Linked DNA regions of Danio rerio. The protein of the gene in region 3 purifies or fractionates together with the protein of the main gene of each other region. This does not show direct contact. Links are inferred from orthologs where the notes say so. Each region holds a gene or a part of one and is shown on either strand. Other genes may lie near its edges. The genes, in order: ssrp1b, skila and trim33.

Region 1 (6,753 bases), on a different chromosome or scaffold from region 3:
TAAGTAAATAACTAATGTTCTCCACTGCTGGAGAAATCATAAATGCTCAGAGGAGTCTGTGCTCACCTCTATAAACATTCTGATCATTGAAGAAAAAATATTCAACTAGTACGAATGCATGGTTTTTTATTAAAAATAATCCAGGGCTAAGCATAAAATGTTTGCATGTTTACATATAATAAGAGTCTTAAGTTTACAACATTTTTACATTTATTTGACATCTGTGCGCTTGTTTTACTTTGTCATAATTCTATAAAGCATGTGTTGTTAATAAAAGAAATGCATCTTATAACTTTTTGGTGCCTTTTTCCCCTTTATTTACAAAAATTGTGGATGGTTTGCTTATGATATATCCAAGAATTGCTGATATCATGATATATATCAGGGGTGGCCAACCCTGTTCCTGGAGAGCCACCTTCCTGCAGATTTCAGTTGCAACCCAGATCAAACACACCTGAACCAATTAATTAGGACCTGAACACCACGTGATAATTACAGGCAGGTGTGTTTGATATAGTCTTTTGTTAACTTATCGTGTTTATTGTGAAATTCGATGCGTATGTTTTAACAAACACATGTAGACTGCAGAATTGTATCAAATCACTCAGTTCAACTGTTCATGCAGACGTTGATGTTAATTCCTGGCAGTGTTTTCTTTGAATTTAGCTTAGATCCAACCCGATAAATATCTATCACTCTCTTTTGTCAAGTTTAATCATAATTTAGTTTTTATCCACAACAGAAATGAAGAACAAAATAGGTTAACATTACTCGGATTGGGTTTTATATTTGTCCGTGTTCGCATACATTATGCTCTGTCTGTGTGTCTGTAAAGGGAGCACAAGCTTATTAATATTCATGACATGAACCATATATGGTCAATCATGGACCTTCTGATTCTATGGGTACTTTATAGAGTATTAAATGACCTTATAAAACAGTTTCTGGAGATTTTTTTAAACCCAATATGTAGATATCAGAGAATAATTTAACTAATTAAACTAATGCAGTATATGGCATAGCCGTGAGCTAGCTCTCTGCAACTTTCACATGGTCGCCCACTGAAGCTAAGCAGGGCTGCAACCTGTGCTCTGTGTGGGTCCCAATGCCCCAGTATAGTGACAGGGATAGTGAGCGGTGTCTTTCGGATGAGACATTAAACCAAGGTCCTGACTCTCTGTGGTCATTAAAAATCCCAGGATGTCCGTTAAAAAAGTGTAGGGGTTTAACCCCAGCATCCTGGCCAAATTTGCCTACTGGCCTCTGTCCATAATGGCCTCCTAAATCATCCCCATACCATAAATGGCTTCATCACTCTGTCTCCTTTCCACCAATCAGCTGGTATGTGGTGTGTGCTCTGGCGCGATATGGCTGCCATCCAGGTGAATGCTGCACACTGGTGGTGGATGAGGAGATTCCCCCCAATGTGTAAAGGGTTTTGAGTCTCCAGAAAAGCGCTATATAAATGTAAAGAATTATTATTATTATTATTATTATTATTATTATTATTATTATTATTATATTAATATTTTAAGGCCCATTTACACAAAACATTTCTTTGTGTCTAAAAATGTGCTCAAAAGTAGTAGAAGTAGTTTTTTTTTTAAATTCCGCCATGTTGCTGTCAAATAAAACAGCCGTCTCCCAACTTGCTAATGTAAACAAGACACTTGCCCCGCCTCCAACACCTTCTGATTGGCCCACAATCAGAAGACTTTGAAGTAAATTTATGTAAAACTTTAAATTCTTAAAAAACTTGACATGGCGTCTTAAAGTCTATGTACACATCAAGCACATATTACATAGAAAGACAATGGAAAAGTTGCACACTGGAATATAAAAAACGTCTTCTGTGTGAACGGTCCCTTAAAAGTTTTCCGGACACATTGTTTCTGGCACATTAGTGTGATGTGATTAACTGATGCCTTGCTGTATTGATTCAGTCATAATGTGCACCCAACAGAAAATACAATAATGTCCATAAAGCAGCTTAGTTTTTGCCCCCTCAACGTGCAGATGGGGGTCAGGTCACTAAAAGAGAGGGGCTCTTTTACACCAGTGTTAAGACAAAAACAGAGAGAATGACCACAAAGAGCAGGCATTGATTTTCAATGGCAGATGGGGGTTAAGTGCTCAATGACATAATAGCTGGAAGTGCCTGGAAAAGGGTATGAACAATGCTCTTTTCATTACTGCTGTGATCTAGTTCCCTTCAAAGTGATGTTCCCGACAGCCAGACAAGAGTATCATCGGGGGTTCTGGGTACCTCTCGATGCTGCTGAAGGTGTACTGATTGCCTTGCTTGGTCTCGATCTCGAAATCGAAGGAGCGGGTCGTGGTGGTCCCGCGGGCGAAGTTCACACAGGCGATCTCCTCAAAACGCAGGTGCACTGGGGGCTTGTGCACGTAGATGAAACCTCTTTCCAGGGGATACAGCAGCCCTGAACTGGCCTTATAGGAGCAGGTTATACACTGAGCTCCTGAGTGACTACAGAGAACAGAGAGAGACAGGAAATTAGACACTTTTATTACAATAAATTACCACATTATCAAGTAATTGTTCAGTATGAATGCAAACACTATATATATATATATATATATATATATATATATATATATATATATATATATATATATATATATATATATATATATATATATGTGTGTATATATGTATATATATATATATATATATATATATATATATATATATATATATATATATATATATATATATATGTATATATGTATGTATATATATGTCAGTGTTGAATGCAAATGTCATTGAGTGTTTTCAGTGTTTTACTGTATCGTTTTCTACAGTGTAAATATGCGTTTTACCCTTGGAAATTTCCAGGCACTGTGATCTTCCTGTTGACCAAGGCTTTCATGACCCTGCTGACCATCTCATAGAGAGAGCCGGACATGTTTTTATTAAGTTTTCCTTCAAAACGCCTCTCCACCTCGTCCCTGCACAACATAAGAGAACGATATTGCTGGATGGCAACCACTGCACACAACACAACACGACACGATAGAAACATTTAAATACCAGCCATTCTTTCAAATACCAGCCACTGCACTCACAATAAAATGGTAAGAGTTATAAACTAATTAATACACTTTAAACCTCTTTAACATTATTAACAGGCTACTGAGTGACGGATGTTGTTTTTTTGCACAGTTCACACACATTTCAGAGTCATAGTCCTAACTTTTATTTTCAAACCGATTGCTAGTTATTTAATTTTTTACATCTGAGATTAACTATTTGCTACTGCCTTAAGTAGTATGTCACGTAAAATGGTGTTCAAACTCACATTAACACTGAATAAAGCACATAGTCTGATTGTTGTTTATTCATATATTTTCTTTTCAGCTTAGTTCCTTTATTAATCCGGGGTTGCCACAGCGGAATGAACCGCCAACTTATCCAACATATTTTTACGCAGCAGGTGCCCTTTCAGCCACAACCCATCTCTGGGAAACATCCACACACACTCATTCACTATGGACAATTTAGCTCACCCAATTCGCCTGTACCGCATGTCTTTTGGACTGTGGGGGAAATCGGAGCTCCCGGAGGAAACCCACGCGAATGCAGGGAGAACATGCAAACTCCACACAGAAATGCCAACTGACCCAGCCGAGGCTCGAACCAGGGACCTTCTTGCTGTGAGGCACTACCTAGTGCGCCACAGCTTCGCCATTGTTGTTTATATAAAACATTTCTATAAAGCATTGTGGATGGTTAGGACAAAAGGTCAGACTTTAGTTTGATGGTGCTTTTGTTCAATGTAAGTTACATTGTATCTACATGCTAACTAATTTTCATTAGATTATAAGACCATTAGGTTGGGGTTAGGGTTGGTGATAGAGATAGTGTGAGTTGGCATGTAATTGCAAATTTTCTTATAGTATGGTAAATGTCTGTTGAAGGAGCATTTCAACAGATATTAAGCAGACAGTCTACTTATACTCAAACTGACCATCAAAATAAAAAGCTATCGAACAAAAATGTGTAATAAAGGACACCATTATGCAAAAAAATTGAGTTGTGAATCTAACCAGCTTCTAATGGTAAAAAGTAATAATATTTTTATAATCACACTTGATAAAAACAATCTAATGAGACACTTTTATTGACATTCTCCCTTTGTAAATGTCTTCAGAGGGAAAAAGCCCCGCCTATTGGTGAAGAACTCTCCCTCATTGGCATAGGGGCTTAGTCTTTATTTTGAATATGCCACTATGCTGACTCACAGCCATTTGTAGCTCCGCCCTATTTTGAAAAGATCTCATTTGAATTTAAAGGGTCACGAAACACCAAAACACATTTTTTGAGCTGTTGACAGTCGTATATGTGTCCCACACTGCTAAAAACACTATTAGGACACCTATATTTCACTAAAAAGTGTAAATTGGTTGTTTTTGCGTTATTTCAAGCAAATTCGTACTTCCGGTTTGAAACGAATTTTTGAAGCCGCGTCACGGTCATGACATAATAGCGTGTATTGCAGCGTGCAGACTGGGCGTCTGTGCCAGAGTGTGTCTTATTACGTCTTACAGTGTGATGCATTAATGCATGAGTAAAGCTTGGTTCAAACCAATCAGCGCGCTCTATTGTGCAACTTCATTAATATTCATTACTGTCACATGAAGAGATGCCACGTTGTGTTGGCAAAACAAGCGTGAAGTGTTGCTTTTATTGTTTGCTGCAGTTAAGTTTCGTTTTCATTTTCTCTCTGTGAGAGCTCATCTGGAGTCACGTGAGGATTAACAGTGTACGCGACGCTCGACAACAATAGCTTACATGTCTAAGGAGGATTATTGTTTACCTGAGAGCTGTTCTCATCTGCAAACGCAGAGATCCGGATTTGCTTGTAGTATTCTCTTAATAAAGACGCGGCTCTAGTTGCTGGTGATTGTCCTCTATAGATTTGGTAAGTGAGCGACCAGTGCTCTTTGTTTATTCAGTTTATTCGTATCGAACTAAGTTAACTATTGCACCGAGTGTAAACACGTTAGCACCACAACCAAACTTTAACCTCGTGTAGGGTTTTTACCGCATTTAGTGACCGGAATAACACGCGCAGCTTTCTGACGCTACCTGCCGTGTGCATCTAAGTTTCCGGGAAATGCGGAGGTTTTTTTTCTCTCATTCGGAGTGCGGTATCAAACATTGCATGGAAAATACACGCTTAGAGCAGTTCCTCGAATCAAATATCTCATTTGTCGGGAGGGGCATGAATAAATCCCTGAATTAAAGAGCCAAACTGCATTTAAAGTCCACCATTTAATAATTTGGCAAATAATTCCACTACAGATGTCCATGTAGGTTAAACACCATCACTTACTACTGTGTGTGTGTGTGTGTGTATTATGACTCTGAAGCTCGCGCGTGCCCAAATAGACACTCCCACACCATCCCACTTTTCTTCCTCCGACACTCCCCCCTAAACAGAGCTGGACACGCCCACTTTTCTGACTTTTTCCAAAGTAGAGGTGTGAAAACACCCTGCTGAAACGAGGGGGTTTCATGGCCCTTTAAAGTGTCACCAAAAAGACACAATTTGGATCAAAAAGGTAAAAAAAAAAAGTCAAAAAGAGACAGTTTCAAAGAGTTATGAAACATTATTTGTGAGGTCTCTTGAGCTAAAACTTCACATACACGCTCTAGGGACATCAGAGACTTATTTTTACATCTTGTATAAAGAGGCATAATAGATGCCTTTTATCTTTATTTACATGTCGCAGCATCACGCCGCATCGCTTGTAATTAGGACACATTGCAATTCCTTTAACCTCAGGTTGATTTAAGCTAATATTCTTCGTAAATAATAATACATTTTTGGTCATCTGCTTTTAATACTGTTAGTAAAATGTAAATAGCGGACTTCTGACATCTTTCACCAGTGTCTCTCAATCTCTTTCAGGTTTTACTCACTCATTCATGTTGAGTGTGAGGCTGATGGTTTCTTCCTTGGAGAACAGAAGAATGAGAAAGTGATAGCGTGTTTGACCCTGTTTAATAGGGGGGTCCAGACTGATCTGAAACAGAAGATGGCCTTATAACCATGACATGGCATGAATATGAAGGAGATTATATCTATTCTTATGATCACTGTCATTGAGTGCCATTTGCTCAGCTATGTCGTGTTAAAAGCAATGATGACATTGTTTGAGATGTCTTTGCTAAAGTACAAATGAAATCAAAACTAACCAGATGATTTTAATAGCTCATTTTGCCATTTTGAAAAGTTCATCTGTGCATGTCATTAAGAAAAAATAAAGTTTGCTCTTGTAATCTTTAATTGAAATATGAAAGCACACTTCCTGTTTGTTTTCAGTTAAATTTTCACATTAAGTCTATCTGAGATAATGGGCGTGGCTAACATATTTAACCACACCCCTCCAACTGTCAGTTTTGACAACAGAAATGGTGAGGAGGAGGAGTCTGTTAGGTTGTAATAACAATCCTAAAATTTTCCTGATGTTTGTGAATGAAATGCCTACTTTACTACATCCAATCAGCTCGCAGTAGAAAAAACAAGCCACACCCACTGTTTTCTTATTTAATATTCTCGAAGAACAACGTCACAATACAAAAAAAAACATGGTCGCAGCTTCAGGTTCATGCAGACTTTAAGGCCAGTTGACATAAATATATTCAAATTTTTATGTCATCAAACTTGACTATTATTAAGACAACATAACCAGTCATAAATCCGTCATAAACATGATTGTCATGAG
Region 2 (6,853 bases), on a different chromosome or scaffold from region 3:
CGGGACAGAGAGCCGCGCAAATGGTGCGAGCCTGATAGAGCGATTGTTTACAAGTGTGGAGTTCCGTGAAGGAGCTCCGGATGGAAAGTTTTGTTTTGGGTTTACCTCATAGTTAAAGTTGTTGCACGTCCGCCAGTTCCTGCCTCAAAATGAGCGAGTTTGAGCCACTTGTACATCCCCGAAGCGTTCAGGAAAAGCAAAACAGTGAAGAAACTCGACAAAAAGGCACATTTACACCTCACTGCCAACTAGCGTTTCGGAAGTGTTAATGCAGATCAACAGAGACAGCGCGCAGACATATAAATACACAGCTACGCGCGTTACATGCGCCGTCGGTTACGCCGGTTACTTGACGCAGAAGTTTAAACCAGGCTTTAGCCTGACATGTTTACTGCTCTGAAATATTTTAAATGTTTCTGAAAACAAAATATATTGGCTAAAATCGCCTACTACTTAGTAGGTACTGCATCTGAATTTAAATTTACAACCCGACAAAAACGGACGTTCTATACAGTAGTAATGTGGCTAGTATGAATGGAGCTTGGACGTAGTACAGATGCATTTTGTCATTATCACGTGACATACCCGCTTCACTCCCATTCATAAATTCTCTAACGGTGCATCATGGGATAGCGAAGCGTCCATCGGATACACACTTCAGAATCTCACCGCACTCTAGGTCATCCGGATACTTCTCACATACTGATTTTCGAATTCTATGAATTCAAACATACTACTCGGCTCGCATACTGTTTTTATGGAAGTATGTGATTTTGTACGGAGCCATTGTGTTCAAAGCGAAAAAAAAAAACGTTGTTGCTTTACTTAGACATTTCAAAAGATTTTTTAGAGCAGTAATCACAATACTGTGAAACCAAACCATGATATTTTTATCAAAGGTTACCATACCGTCTGAATTTTATACCCACCCATCCCTATTGTAGATAAAATACTAGAAGTAACAAAGTGGTATGTGTGCAGAAAAACACTGTTCGTGATCATTTAGTACAATCTCAGACTGGAAATCAGAAAAAAGTTATTTAAATCCATTTCCTTTAAACTTAACATTGCCACTAGATAGACTAGATTAAATACAAAAATATATATTATTATCCATTATATTCTTATCATCTCATTATGCATATATTAATTAATGATTTTGGATGGAAAGGGTAAGTGTAAAACTGCTGTTGCATATGTTTTAATGCTTTGAATATTTAAATACAGATTTTTGAATTGGAATTTATAAAAAAAAAAAAAATACAGGTACTAGAAAACCTTGTACATCCAAGGTAACAAAATTCCACCATTTTAATGTGTGCTGTCATCATCCACCCCCTAAAGCTGACCCTGTACTGACCTGAGAGGAAGATAATGTACTTCCCCTTCAGCCAGACCAACTGGAATTCCCTCCCTCCGGCCATACGTCCCAACCAAGCAAGCGTCACCTGCTTGTGCCACCCCATAAAATTGGGTCAGCACTAGTTTATCAAAACAACTGCAGCCTTGCCCAGACAATAGCAAACAGTCTCCTCTGCGGACTATCACACATTACCATCTGGTCACACACGTGCAAATCCACTTGTGAACATGAAGCAAAACTTGACCTTAGTGAACCAGAACACATGCAAGACAAAAAGACACTTACTTTGTCCAGAGGCCTCTTTAGCTGGTAGTGAAACTTCTCCTTCATCTCGTCCAGCAGCTGCTTGAGCTGTGGCTCCTCCTGTGTGCCCTCATGCTTGCGCCCCAGCTGAAGGTAGCAGGGCCACTTGGCTGAATCGAAGCCCCAGTGGCAGGTCCTCTTGTCAGGGGACTTGTGTGAGTGCATTACAAAGTTCTGTGGGGAAAACAGCAGCTGGCACTCCATGCACTGAATGCAAGGGGCATCCGGCTGGACGTAGAAATGGGGCACAAACAGGCCTTGGCACTTGCCAAGACACTGGTGCTCCACCTGGAAACTGATGTCACTCTCCTTCAGCAGGCCTTGGCCTGGCAGTTTGCTGTTGGGATCTGCTGAGATGGTGGCACCTGGGCGAAGCAGGGCATTGCAGAGCCGTTGGGCATCAGTTAGGGTAATCAGGCCACAGGAAGGTGCATTAAAAGGCAAAATGCCCAGCACCTTGAGAATGTGCAGCTGCTCCGCATGACACCGCGAACAGTAAACGTAAAGTTCATCACAAACAGCATTGATCTGCTGCAGAGAGAAGTCTCGGAGCACTGAATTGAGTACCTGGGGCAGACAAAGACGCTTCTCACCACCTACAACAAAGCAGGAGATGGACTCTCCTTCAAGGAGAGAATGGGTAAGCTCTGTGGAGCTGTCACAGGGCACTAAGAGTGGGCCTCCTCCGAGGACTGGGGGAGACGGTAGGGGAGCCATGCCAGCAGGAGAGGCGCACTCCTGTGCCGATTTTGCTGAGAAAGCAGCAGGACCTCCCAGGGAGCTCTGGCTGCTCAGCGTGAACTGTGCCAGCGTGTGCTTGAGGCCGGCGCTCAGATCTAAAGCCTTGGATGCTCCGACAATGTGGAATTCTCTTTCCTCCATGTCCATTTCTGAGCTGGTGTGCTCCTCACGCTCCTTCTTGACTTTTAGGGGTTTGGGGATGCTCTCCAGGCTGCGACGTTTCAAATGCATCTCTGCCATTACCCGTTTTTTAATGGGAGCATCTTCCAGTCGCTCCCTGTACAGCCGCTTCATGTTGCCTTTAAATGAGGTCAGGTCTTTAAAAGGGGTTTTCAGACCTGTCTGAGGGCTGGCCATATCCATACACAGATAACTGGTCTTCCTTGGGTGGAAAATAATCGTCAGACACGACACCTTTGGGTTGGTCCTACTTTGCTCGCTGTGTTAAAGGTTGCAAATCCTTTTACGTCTAGCTACATGCATGATGCTGACAGAATTAAATGTTCAACGAGCTTCCTGTGAATGAAAAGGTAAAAAAGGCTTGTATTAAAATACAATTCTTACTAAATCAAACACAAATCAGAATGTGAAGCCACGTGAATGCGGATGAATGGAAAATGCTGCCAGAGCAATTAAAAGGCATCCAGAAGCGTTTTAGCGTTGGGCACAGTGCTAAACTAGACGACAGAAACATTTTCACCTCATCAGGATAATCTAATTTGAAAGCAATCGATCTAAGGCCAGTTTCTCGCTGGTTTAGTGCGCTGTTTTTCTCTACTGACAACATGCCGAATCCGTCAAGGCGGTAAATGAGTCAGTGCACTAATAACGTCGGTTTAACACAGATAACCAACAGCATCAGTAACTAACAGCGAGCAGCCATTTAGTCCTGTCCAACCACAGCAGGCTTGAAACAAAATGTATTAACGACACATAAACACCACTTCTGCCACGCAAGATTAAATGTATATATTATATTGTAAATAAAAAAGGATGTTTTCATCGTACAAGCAAAAGCCTGAACTGGCGGAATTTCCGAGCACGAATATGAAGGCAAAATGAAAGCTCAGCCTCAAATTCAGCGCATGCCAGTGGGGTTTCGGCAAAATCCATCAGAAAAACGCGTTTCATTTCAGAATCACAACATGCGTTTCTGTTCTACAAACGGAATGCATTCATTTTGGCGAAAATTAAAGGGCCACCAAAGCATAATAATCTCAAGTTCCTCGAAATAAACGCTTGGTTTTGCTTTAACGTTACCAGATTTGCGGGTCAACTCAAACAGACTGACCCTGACCGCAGACGTCGTTTCATTTCCTCATAAAATAACCAGTTTCCAGAAACACTGGCAAAACGCGGTCTATTTTTAACCCTGAATGACAGCGTCTCTCTTTTTACCCCCGCAAGGACACCGCGGCTCTGTCCCCGCCTCTACCCGTCTCTCCCCTCTCCTTCTCCGGGCACAGCTGCGCTGAGCACCCGCGGTGTGACAATCACCATCCCCGCAATCGGGAAAACCCTTCACATGAAAAGAAAACCTGATCACGGCTATTACACATTAAATATCCCAACACGACATCGAAAGCTTCTATTTTAAATCCATTCCCATGTCTTCATTCGGCAGTGAAACGTTTGCCAACCATTCAGCCAGTCTGACACCTGACCACCCCCTCAAAATACGTTAAACAGCGATATCCCCAAAACTGTTTTTGAAAAACAGAAATACAGACATTTGTATTAAACACAATATAGATCATATCTAAGATTTAAATCAATCACACAAATACTCCCAGCTCGATCACCAATATGACCAGGTTAAACACATAATATACACGTATATTATACCCTTTTAAATGGCACATCAAAACACACATCTCAAAAATTCACACGCCACCTATAAGCAAATTATTATTGCTCATTGACAGCACCAAAACCGGTTTAACATCTGAAAAACTGGCTCGTTCGCACAGACAGCTTTAGCAGTGCGGCTAGAATATTTAGACCCTTTAGCACGCGCTAACCGAGCTAACGCTACAAATCCCCGTTCAGAGACAGAAATAAACGTCACTTAACTATTACAAACCTTCAAAACGGTTTTAAAAAACACAGCGACAAACTGCTGATCCACCAGAGTAATGGACGCAGTGTATAGGCGAATCAGATGTGGGTTTTAAAGGGACTTGCCTCAGGATGAACGATCTGCTCTGCTGTCTCTCTCGGTCTCTCCTCTAGTCTGTCTGAGCGTCAACAACACGCGCACACACTCAAAGCCTTCAGACAGATCGCGCGTCACACACAGCGAGAGCGCGCACTGGCGGAGCGGATGATGTTGCGCGGGCGTGTCTATGTATGTGTGTCTGTCTGTCTGTCTGTCCTGTCTGTCTGCAGCGCGCCGCCAGATTCTCATGAACTTTGCAAGAATTTACAGGTTACAGTAAATGTAATGTAATGCATGTAGTACATGTTCAGTTGTCATCTGTGGTCTACTAGTAACTTGCGCTTGCACACATGACTAACCAAGGGACATTTCTTTAGAAATAAGGGAGTTTTGCTGTCTACTTAGGGACAGTCATAGTGGAGCATGCTGAATTTGAATCACTTTATGGTAAGAGAAAGGAGTAAATGGAAATTAAATAGTAACTTTAGCCACATCCCCATTCACGCTATGACTTAGCATGATTTTTGAGGAATAATGAATGGCAGCATGAGCTGAGGTCTGTCAATGTTTCACAGATAATGACTCATCTGAAATGGGCTGTTTAAATGAAATACATATCATGCAAAACATCACAGTTTTTGTACTTGGTAAAGACATAAAACATTATTCTGTTTTACAATTATAGTGTTGAGGGCGTAACACATTACAAGTAACGAGTTACGTAATAATATTACTTTTCTAAGTAATGAGTAATGCATATTTTTAAAAATTAAGTAATACTATTTGAGTGACTTTTTAGCTTAATTAATTAGCTTATAAAAACAAATGGCTGAAATAAAATAAATGTCAGATTGAATCCCACACTCAATGATAGAATGCAGGAAAAGACAGAAACCAACATGGCAGAGCCTTATATTTCTGCAATGGGAGTTTTCTTATTATTCTGAACGAATCACAGAAAAGGAAAACAGGATTATAGTCTCAATGGATAGTGATTTTACTTTATTAATAGCACAAAAAAGACAAAAGTAGTAGTCACATTGCATTAGACTTTCATTATTACCTGTATAGGCATATATCCTTGAGGGTCAGGAAGTTCTCAAAAGATAAGATTATCCTACATTATTATTTTATGATGTGTTTTTAAAAGGTAAATGAAGGTGTAGGTTATTTAGTGCGATGTTTATTGCAGAGCTGCTTTATTTTAAAAAAGAAGGAAAAAATCCTGCAAGATCTGAAACAGATCAAGTCTCAGCCAGGTCAGAAAAGGTAATGCAAAAGTAACTCAAAAGTAGCGTGACACATTACTTATTATAAAAAGTAACTTAGTAATGTAACTTACTTTTTTGAGGAGTAACTAAAAATTGTAATGCATTACTTTGAAAAATAACTTTCCCCAATAACAATTTACAGTTGAAGTCAGTATTCTAGCCCTCCTTTGAACTTTGTTTTCTTTTTAAAATATTTTACAAATTATGTTTAACAGATGTCTGGTAATATTTTTTTTTGTTCTGGAGAAAGTCTTACCTGTTATATTTAGGCTATTAATTCAGGAGGGCAAATAATTCTTACTTCAACTGTAGTTCAAAAGTTTTAGGAAATGGGTTTCAGAAAATCATGCTTTTTTCAGTAAATATTCAGCTTTGAATCACTGGCATAAATAGCATTTTAAACCTATTCTTAATTAAAATGATTTTCATTTATATTATTTCTAAACCAAAAAAAATGTATAAAATATGACAAAAATTGCGAAAAATGACTTACAGATTTTATTGTATTTATTTACAAAAAAATACCCATTTAGCTTTGTTTATTTTATTTCTATTTCAGTTTTAGCTTTAATTTCTGTTTACTTTCAATGTGTTTTGTTAAGTTGAAAAATTATTAGTTTTTTTTTTTACATTTTTAAGATATGTTTTTCTATATTTCCATTTTACTTGTAATTTTTATAATACATTGTGTATTGTGCTGTCATTGTTTCTTAAACTATTTATTCATTCATTCATTTTCTTTTTGGTTTAGTCCCTTTATTAATCTGGGGTTGCCAGAGCGGAATGAATCGCCAATTTATCCAGCACATGTTTTAAGCAGCGGATGGCCTTCCAGCTGTAACCCATCTCTGGGAAACATGCATACAGTCATTCACACTCATACACTAGGCCTATTTAGCCTGCCCAATTCACATGTACCGCATGTCTTTGGACTGTGGGGGAAACCCTAACGCAGGGAGAACATGCAAACTCCACACAGAAACGCCAACTGACTCAGCCGAGGCTCAAACCAGCAAC
Region 3 (6,753 bases):
ATTTGGTTTATTTTTTATTGTATTTTGTTATTATATGTTGTTATATTTTATTTTTATAATGGTTTATTTGTATTATTTTATTGTTATTTTGTTTACTTTAGTATTTGTTTTGTTTAACTTAATTTGTTTAAGTTTGTTTAACTTTTGTTTACTTTGTTTATATTGTTAACTTTTGTTTATTTAAGAATTAGAGATGCAGCTATATGGAAATTATAGCCAATACAGATTTCTCTGAATCTGATTACAAAATCAAAATGTCAAACAAATACAGTACTGATCTTATTTTGAAACCTTAAAGGGACAGTTCACCCAAAAATGAAAATTCTGCCATTTACTCAACATCCAATTATTTTTTCTGTTGAACAAAAAGGAAGATACATAAAAAAATGTTGAAATTGCTTTTCATCCATTGACTTCTATTGTATGTTTTTGTTCCTACCATGGATGTCAATGACCATTTCCCCCCAAAATTCTTCAGAATATCTTGTTTTGTGTTCAACAGAAAAAATAAATCCATTATTGACCACTTGAGTGCGAGTAAACGATGGGAACCTTTTCATTTTTGGGGCGAATTATCCCTTGGATGAAAGCAAACTACAAGCAATCTTCAAGATCTTTCATTCTGCTACATGTTTCGATTCTCATGTCCTCATCTTGTACAGTGGAAAACCCATTGTTAGTAAAATAATCGTTGGTGTGAACAGGCTTATCTACAGACTGTGGTTCGAGTAAAAAGTGTTCACCTTTGTTCACTCATTCTCTGTGTATTATGGTGTTTGTTTGTCAGCGTGACTCACCCTTTGTTCTTCTGGACTCATTGCCATCTCATTTTTTTCTTTGTTTCTGGGTGGATCGTCATCACAGTTGTACTCGATCTCTGGATTTGCGAGATTTCTGCAGAACGTGCACATCCAATCCCCACTGCAATTAACCAACAAACAGAAATTAAAATTCAGAATTCCATATCTTAATATTTGGTCTTAAAAATAATTGAATTGAATTAAACAGGAACATTTTGTACCCCTAATGACATTAAGCATTAAGCAGAATCTTACGCCACTGAACCTCTATGATTAAATTATTTAAATGACCTTGGTCAAGACTGAATAAACAAATTAGCCCCAGGTAAATTCAGTGCTTTCTTCCTTGGTTGTAGCGCTTCTATTGCATGTAGAGTAATTTTATTCTTCTTACTCTTTTTGTTTTCCTGAGTTGAGTAAAAATTATGTTTTTCCAAGCTCCATACCATATTATTAATACACCACAGGTTAAAGCTAGGTAGCTACGTTTCCATCAGCCTATTTTTGTGCGCATATCTAAAATGGTTTGGTCAGGGATGCAAGGAGCTTTCCTAACTAAATGAATAAAATAAGCTGTTGTCCACAAAGGCAACCCAGGGAGCTGAAACATAATTGGCTAAACTGGCATTGGGCAGGTTTAAGACATCAAAACCAAAAAGACAGACATTCCAGCTCGTAAAGCACATTTTCAAAGCAGAATATCTGACTTCTTGTTTGTCTGAAAAACAATGCGGATGTTCATATGGCACGTTTCTTAAATATCTGCAAACATATCATGGTATTTTTATGCTTTAAAAGAGTCAAAAGCGTTCATACAGCACCTTTAAGTGTCTGCTTAAAACATTCAGATACAATAATATTGACTGTGCTGCACCATATGTATGAATAAAGCCGCATCCTTTACCTGGGAGAGGATTTGAGTGTTGGGATATGACAGGTTATGTGGAAGACTTTGGGACAGTGATCGCAGCACAGCAGTTCTCCTCCGTTCTGACAAACAGCACACCAGTCTTCATTCGGGTCGTCTTCCTTTCCCGCAGTGGTCTGACTGTTAGCATTAGTAGTGCCGCCTCGCTGGCCTCCATTCGACCCGCTGGTCCCATTGGTTAGAGTTGCTCTGGAGTTCGGGTTCGTGCAGGAGGAAAGGTTATCGCTCTGTGGTTCAGATTTAACGTTTTCACCAAGTGTCCTTAAAATGTCCTGGACTGAGCCGGTGGACACGGAGCCAAGGATGGGGAGAGGGGGAGTTAAACTTCCTTCTGGACTGCTCATCTGTGTGAGGAGGAAGAACAACAAAGGAAAGACATTGTGAAGAGAGAACAGGTCTAACCTCTAGGGAGCCTGAGGGCCAAAATAAAAAATGTAAAGGATTTTTTTTTTTTTCTACGGGAAGCAATTTGAAAACACATTTGTACACATTTCTAGTAAATATAGGGGAAAACATCCTAGATTTTTAATCAGTTTCCATTTCTTTTAATTGTTCTAAAGGAGTCCTCCTGATAATATGTCCTCATATTGATGATGAATGTGTCGCAGTACGAGTCTGTGAAGTAGGGGTTGCACAGACAGGTCAACTGGTCGACTTTCATGCTCTGCTAATGCACAAGAAGGTGGTTCACTAACTGAAAGTGCCCTCAAATTATTTAAGTTCCTTTTTAATGTTATTTTTCTTATTGGAGCATGAAAGATTCACGTGAGCTTTGAGTAAACTTCAAACAGATGCTAGTTATGTCGCTCCATGCAAATACTCGAGCAAATCCTAGCCAATCATGTTTAAGTAACGTGAAAAAGTAATGTGATTGGCTGTTGTCCTCTGGGAAGTGCAGATGCTGACATGTTTTGTGGATGAACCGTGAAGCGCACAGAAACTGTGAAGTCCGCAGCCACCAGAAGTGTGACAAACTTCATAAAATGTGTAACTATCATCCCAGGTGAACGCAATGAAAATGTGCAGAAGAGACGTCTGATAACCAAGATGAGCCAGTAACCCTGAAAATTGCACGACTTGAGCAGGATTTTGAGCAGCTTTCTAGCGCGCACCATCATAGCAGTAAAATATGCATCTGTGCAAGTCTCTCACAGTGTAATTAAGCATATAGCCTATGTCTTTATGTATGTTATGAAATAACTTCACATGAAGTGTGCTGACGATGTTTGCATTACTTCTGCAATAAAATCTGTTATTTTTACTAGAACCTGCAGCAATCAATGTGTTGACTGCTTTTATTTAGCAGTAAAATTAGCCCGTGTTAATGTCGCATTATTTACTAAATGAAAGTGGTGACAGTGCATTTGTTTGCATTAAAATTAGTCATCGTTATTGTGGCATTGTTTTTGCAGTATGTCAAACAGCATGAGCTGTCAAACAGCATGTGTATATATTTCATGCAAATAAATCACAAATAATGGCATGTTGCAAAATATTTGCATGGTGTTTTTTAATGATGACGTCACCAACAACTAGTCAATGTCAACTCGAGAATCAACTTAAGTCCCTACATTTTATATAGCGCTTTCTGGAAACTCAAGCGCTTATTTAAGAGCTTAGAGCACTCAAATATCTAAGTAATAATTTATACATGAGCACTTAAATAAATAAAAGTACTGTTAATTTTTAGGATATCTACTACCAAGTGTGCCCAAAACAGTGACAAAATTCACATTTAGAAAATATAAAACTGATATAAACATGTAAAGCTTTTAGTTTGTCACTTTTGACTAAATGGCTCAATGTTTTTTTTCACGTCACCTCATACTTCAGTTTCTCATCAAATCTTGATCAAATGCCAAATAGACGCGCGATGAGTGCACGCGAGCTCTCTGAAGAGAGTGAAACCGTTTGCACATTTAGACGGTCCCGTGAAACAAAAACATGACATGGCAGATTTTGTTCTTCTTGGCTTTGTGGCTGCTCGTCAAGATGACGACAAGGTTTGTTTGAGCTTGGGTCTACCATGGCTTGTTTTTATATGTATATATTCTTGTTGCACGCATTAGTGACGTATTTCTGTAAATCAATAGTGTCTAGTTGCGCATCTAGCTCTGCCTTTTGAAACCCTTTTGTTTTGATAGGTACTCTTTGCAAAGGGTACCCAAAAAGTGGTACGGTACCATTCGCTTTTAGGCACCTTTTTACTGGAAACGGCCATAAAAGCATACTGAACAGAACTGTACTGTACCACTCAGTGGAAACGGGTCATAATATGGTTTAGGTCTTCAAAGAAATTCACAAATCTTTTCAGTTTGTAAGAAGTTAAAGGAAAACTAGAAATATGTGGGACTACGTTCTACGAAAACTGTAAGCTAAAGGTGATTACCATACAAGCGCTCCGTCTGCCATCTTTAGTTCGTTCAGTTTTGACGTTTGCTCCAGTATAGCTACATTCTTCCTCAACTCCTGGCTCCTGTTTGACCTTCACCTGGTCCACTGTGGTTCCAGAACTAAACACACACACACAAACATAAATAACACATTATCACTTTGTATGCAATGTCTGAACATTTGGAGACCATTTGGATGCATTCATATATACAGTGCTCAGCATAACTGAGTACACCCCATTTTGAAAATAAATATTTATCCATTTGTCAGTGAATATAGGCAATGTATTTTGGTGCATTTAAAGAAAACAGATTTATTAATTAATATTTTAATATTTTATTATTTATTAATATTTAAGTCACCAAATATATTTAGAAATGGAAAGATATTACATTTAAATTCATGCAAAATATTGAACAAAAAACTACAACATTAACAAAATTGTATATATTTTTGTTTCTCTTGATTTTTGCTATTTTAGAAAATGTTATTTAATATTTTTCTACAACATATACATTTGTCCTACTAATTTTTTTTAACCATTATAGTAAGTTTTTTTTTTTTTTTAAATAAGCTCCAGAATGGGCTTCAGTACTGACTAAACTCATGTATATGCACAAATATAATATTGTAAAGCTTCCTATAGAAAATATTTATTTAAATAAGAGATTTTTGTTTGTGTACTCATATGTGCTGAATATATTATAAAACAAATACAAATTTTTTTTTTTTAATTTATGTACTTCATTTATTCATTCATTTTTTTTTCGGCTTAGTCCCTTTATTAATCTGGGGTCGTCACAGCGGAATGAACCGCCAACTTATCCAGCATATGTTTTACGCAATTGCTTGATTTTTTAAATTCAAAATACAGTCTCTGCTAAAATTCATCCCAGTATATGAAGATTTTTTTTTTAAAAAGTAAAGGATCATGAACTTATGAGTAACACAATTCAAAAAGTTTAAACTAGTATGTCTAGTTTAGGGTTTGCTTTCACACGGCAAAGTTTCTAAACGGACCAAAACAGCTAAAACAAGTCATATTGGTCAGAGCTTCATGGTTTATTTTGCAGAGTCCCGCTCAGCTGTCATGCGTCCTTATTTTAATTTAAGACGATGAGCAATAGGACAATATAAGCAAACATCTGCGATTTAATTTTGAATGATGACACCCACATCAGAGGTAAGACTTTCATATACATAGCAGTTGGCTTATACATTAGAGATAAACAACAGATAAACCAAGACTGCTGTTCGGTCAATTTTCCTAACAGATAAACAGCTCTCATTAATAGATCAGCATGCTTTCACTTTCGTATTAGGCATGAAATGCACGTTTACCGGTAGGAATGACATCCCGCTCTACTTCTAATTCTCTCTTCAAGTAGCCATATATGCCTATTACATGTCCATAATCCACTGTGATATAGCCTGGTTCAATCATACTTCTTTCTCACTACAATCAATCAGCTCCCAAGTTTGTTTCAATCAAGCCGAGACCACCTCATTCAGGCGATCTCAGTATCAGAGCCCGATTGCTGCATACACGTATGCCAAACAAACCACGCTAACTGGGGAAACAAAGCAGGTTCCGAAACAAAAGTCTAGCTGTGAAAACACCCTAAAACATTAAAAGACTGTAGTGAACACTGACCTGCCCCGACTGCCTGTACTTGACGTGCTGGATGGACGAGCTGGAGTGTGAGAATTAGATAAACCTGAAGAAAAAGCGACAGAGAGTCTGTTAAAAAACATCAAATCTACAGAAAATTCACAAGTGAGCAGGCATTGTTCTAGATTGGCTCAAAGCACAACTTAAATGATATAAAAAAGGTTTATTTAACTTTTAGTAATGCAATTCAATAAATGTAATAATTCTGTTAACTTCAAAAAGCCTAAAAAATGTAGTACAATTTTCTAAAACATCAAGATGGTTGGCTCAAAATACGCCAATGAATAATCCTGACATATATACTCAATTCTCAATGTCAATTAGGTCTCATAAGAAATCGCATTTAACAATCTTAAGGGACTTGTTGAGTCAAATATTTTGCTAATCTTAATGACCATTCAGTTTTGGATAGCAATTCAAAGCTCACAAAACACACAATTTTAGAAAGTGAATTTACATTTTGAAGTTTCTCATGTATTAATTATATTTCTATTTATTTAATTTCCACCTAAAATAGTTTTAGTTAACAATAACAACAGCAGTGCACAACAATTAAGATCATTTCAAATAATCATTGATCAAAACAAAGCAATAATAGTGAACTGCATGAATGTGCTAGCGAGCTTTGGAGGCAGTTTGGTAGCACACCATTTGGGACGGAGCACAAATTCACGAGGGCAGCAGAATGCAGTCTTAGCCTCAGGGTTTGTGCATATGGTTGGACAGCAGATTATGCCATAAGGAACCTGGAGCGCTGAGCAGGAATTAATGGCGCCAGCAGAGCTGACACAGCCTTAGCCCTTGGGTTTTGGTGCATATGGTTGGTTGAATGGGAGTTTTAGCCATATAGTACAAGAGGGCAGGGTAGTATGGTATATATAAGCATATCATACATACAAAAACACGCATCTGCATGAATATTTCATGACATTATGTAAATGCAAGCTAACCTATACAGA

The links.
Region 1: the proteins of trim33 (region 3) and ssrp1b purify together in Homo sapiens (affinity purification with mass spectrometry; 3 studies listed by BioGRID and IntAct, with this or other methods). This does not show direct contact. The link is inferred for Danio rerio from reciprocal best matches to the Homo sapiens genes TRIM33 and SSRP1.
Region 2: the proteins of trim33 (region 3) and skila purify together in Homo sapiens (affinity purification with western blotting; 4 studies listed by BioGRID and IntAct, with this or other methods). This does not show direct contact. The link is inferred for Danio rerio from reciprocal best matches to the Homo sapiens genes TRIM33 and SKIL.

Annotation. Positions count from the first base shown.
Region 1 is NC_133176.1:47,979,476-47,986,228, reverse strand, and holds part of ssrp1b (FACT complex subunit SSRP1), read right to left. Parts: intron 6,052-6,753; coding exon 5,948-6,051; intron 2,971-5,947; coding exon 2,842-2,970; intron 2,489-2,841; coding exon 2,267-2,488; intron 1-2,266. UniProt on the Homo sapiens protein: Component of the FACT complex, a general chromatin factor that acts to reorganize nucleosomes. The FACT complex is involved in multiple processes that require DNA as a template such as mRNA elongation, DNA replication and DNA repair.
Region 2 is NC_133177.1:40,322,706-40,329,558, forward strand, and holds the start of skila (ski-like protein), read right to left. Parts: upstream 4,647-6,853; 5' UTR 4,592-4,646; intron 2,924-4,591; 5' UTR 2,771-2,923; coding exon 1,649-2,770; intron 1-1,648. UniProt on the Homo sapiens protein: May have regulatory role in cell division or differentiation in response to extracellular signals.
Region 3 is NC_133183.1:12,536,781-12,543,533, forward strand, and holds part of trim33 (E3 ubiquitin-protein ligase TRIM33), read right to left. Parts: intron 5,841-6,753; coding exon 5,777-5,840; intron 4,242-5,776; coding exon 4,118-4,241; intron 2,073-4,117; coding exon 1,705-2,072; intron 922-1,704; coding exon 798-921; intron 1-797. UniProt on the Homo sapiens protein: Acts as an E3 ubiquitin-protein ligase. Promotes SMAD4 ubiquitination, nuclear exclusion and degradation via the ubiquitin proteasome pathway. According to PubMed:16751102, does not promote a decrease in the level of endogenous SMAD4.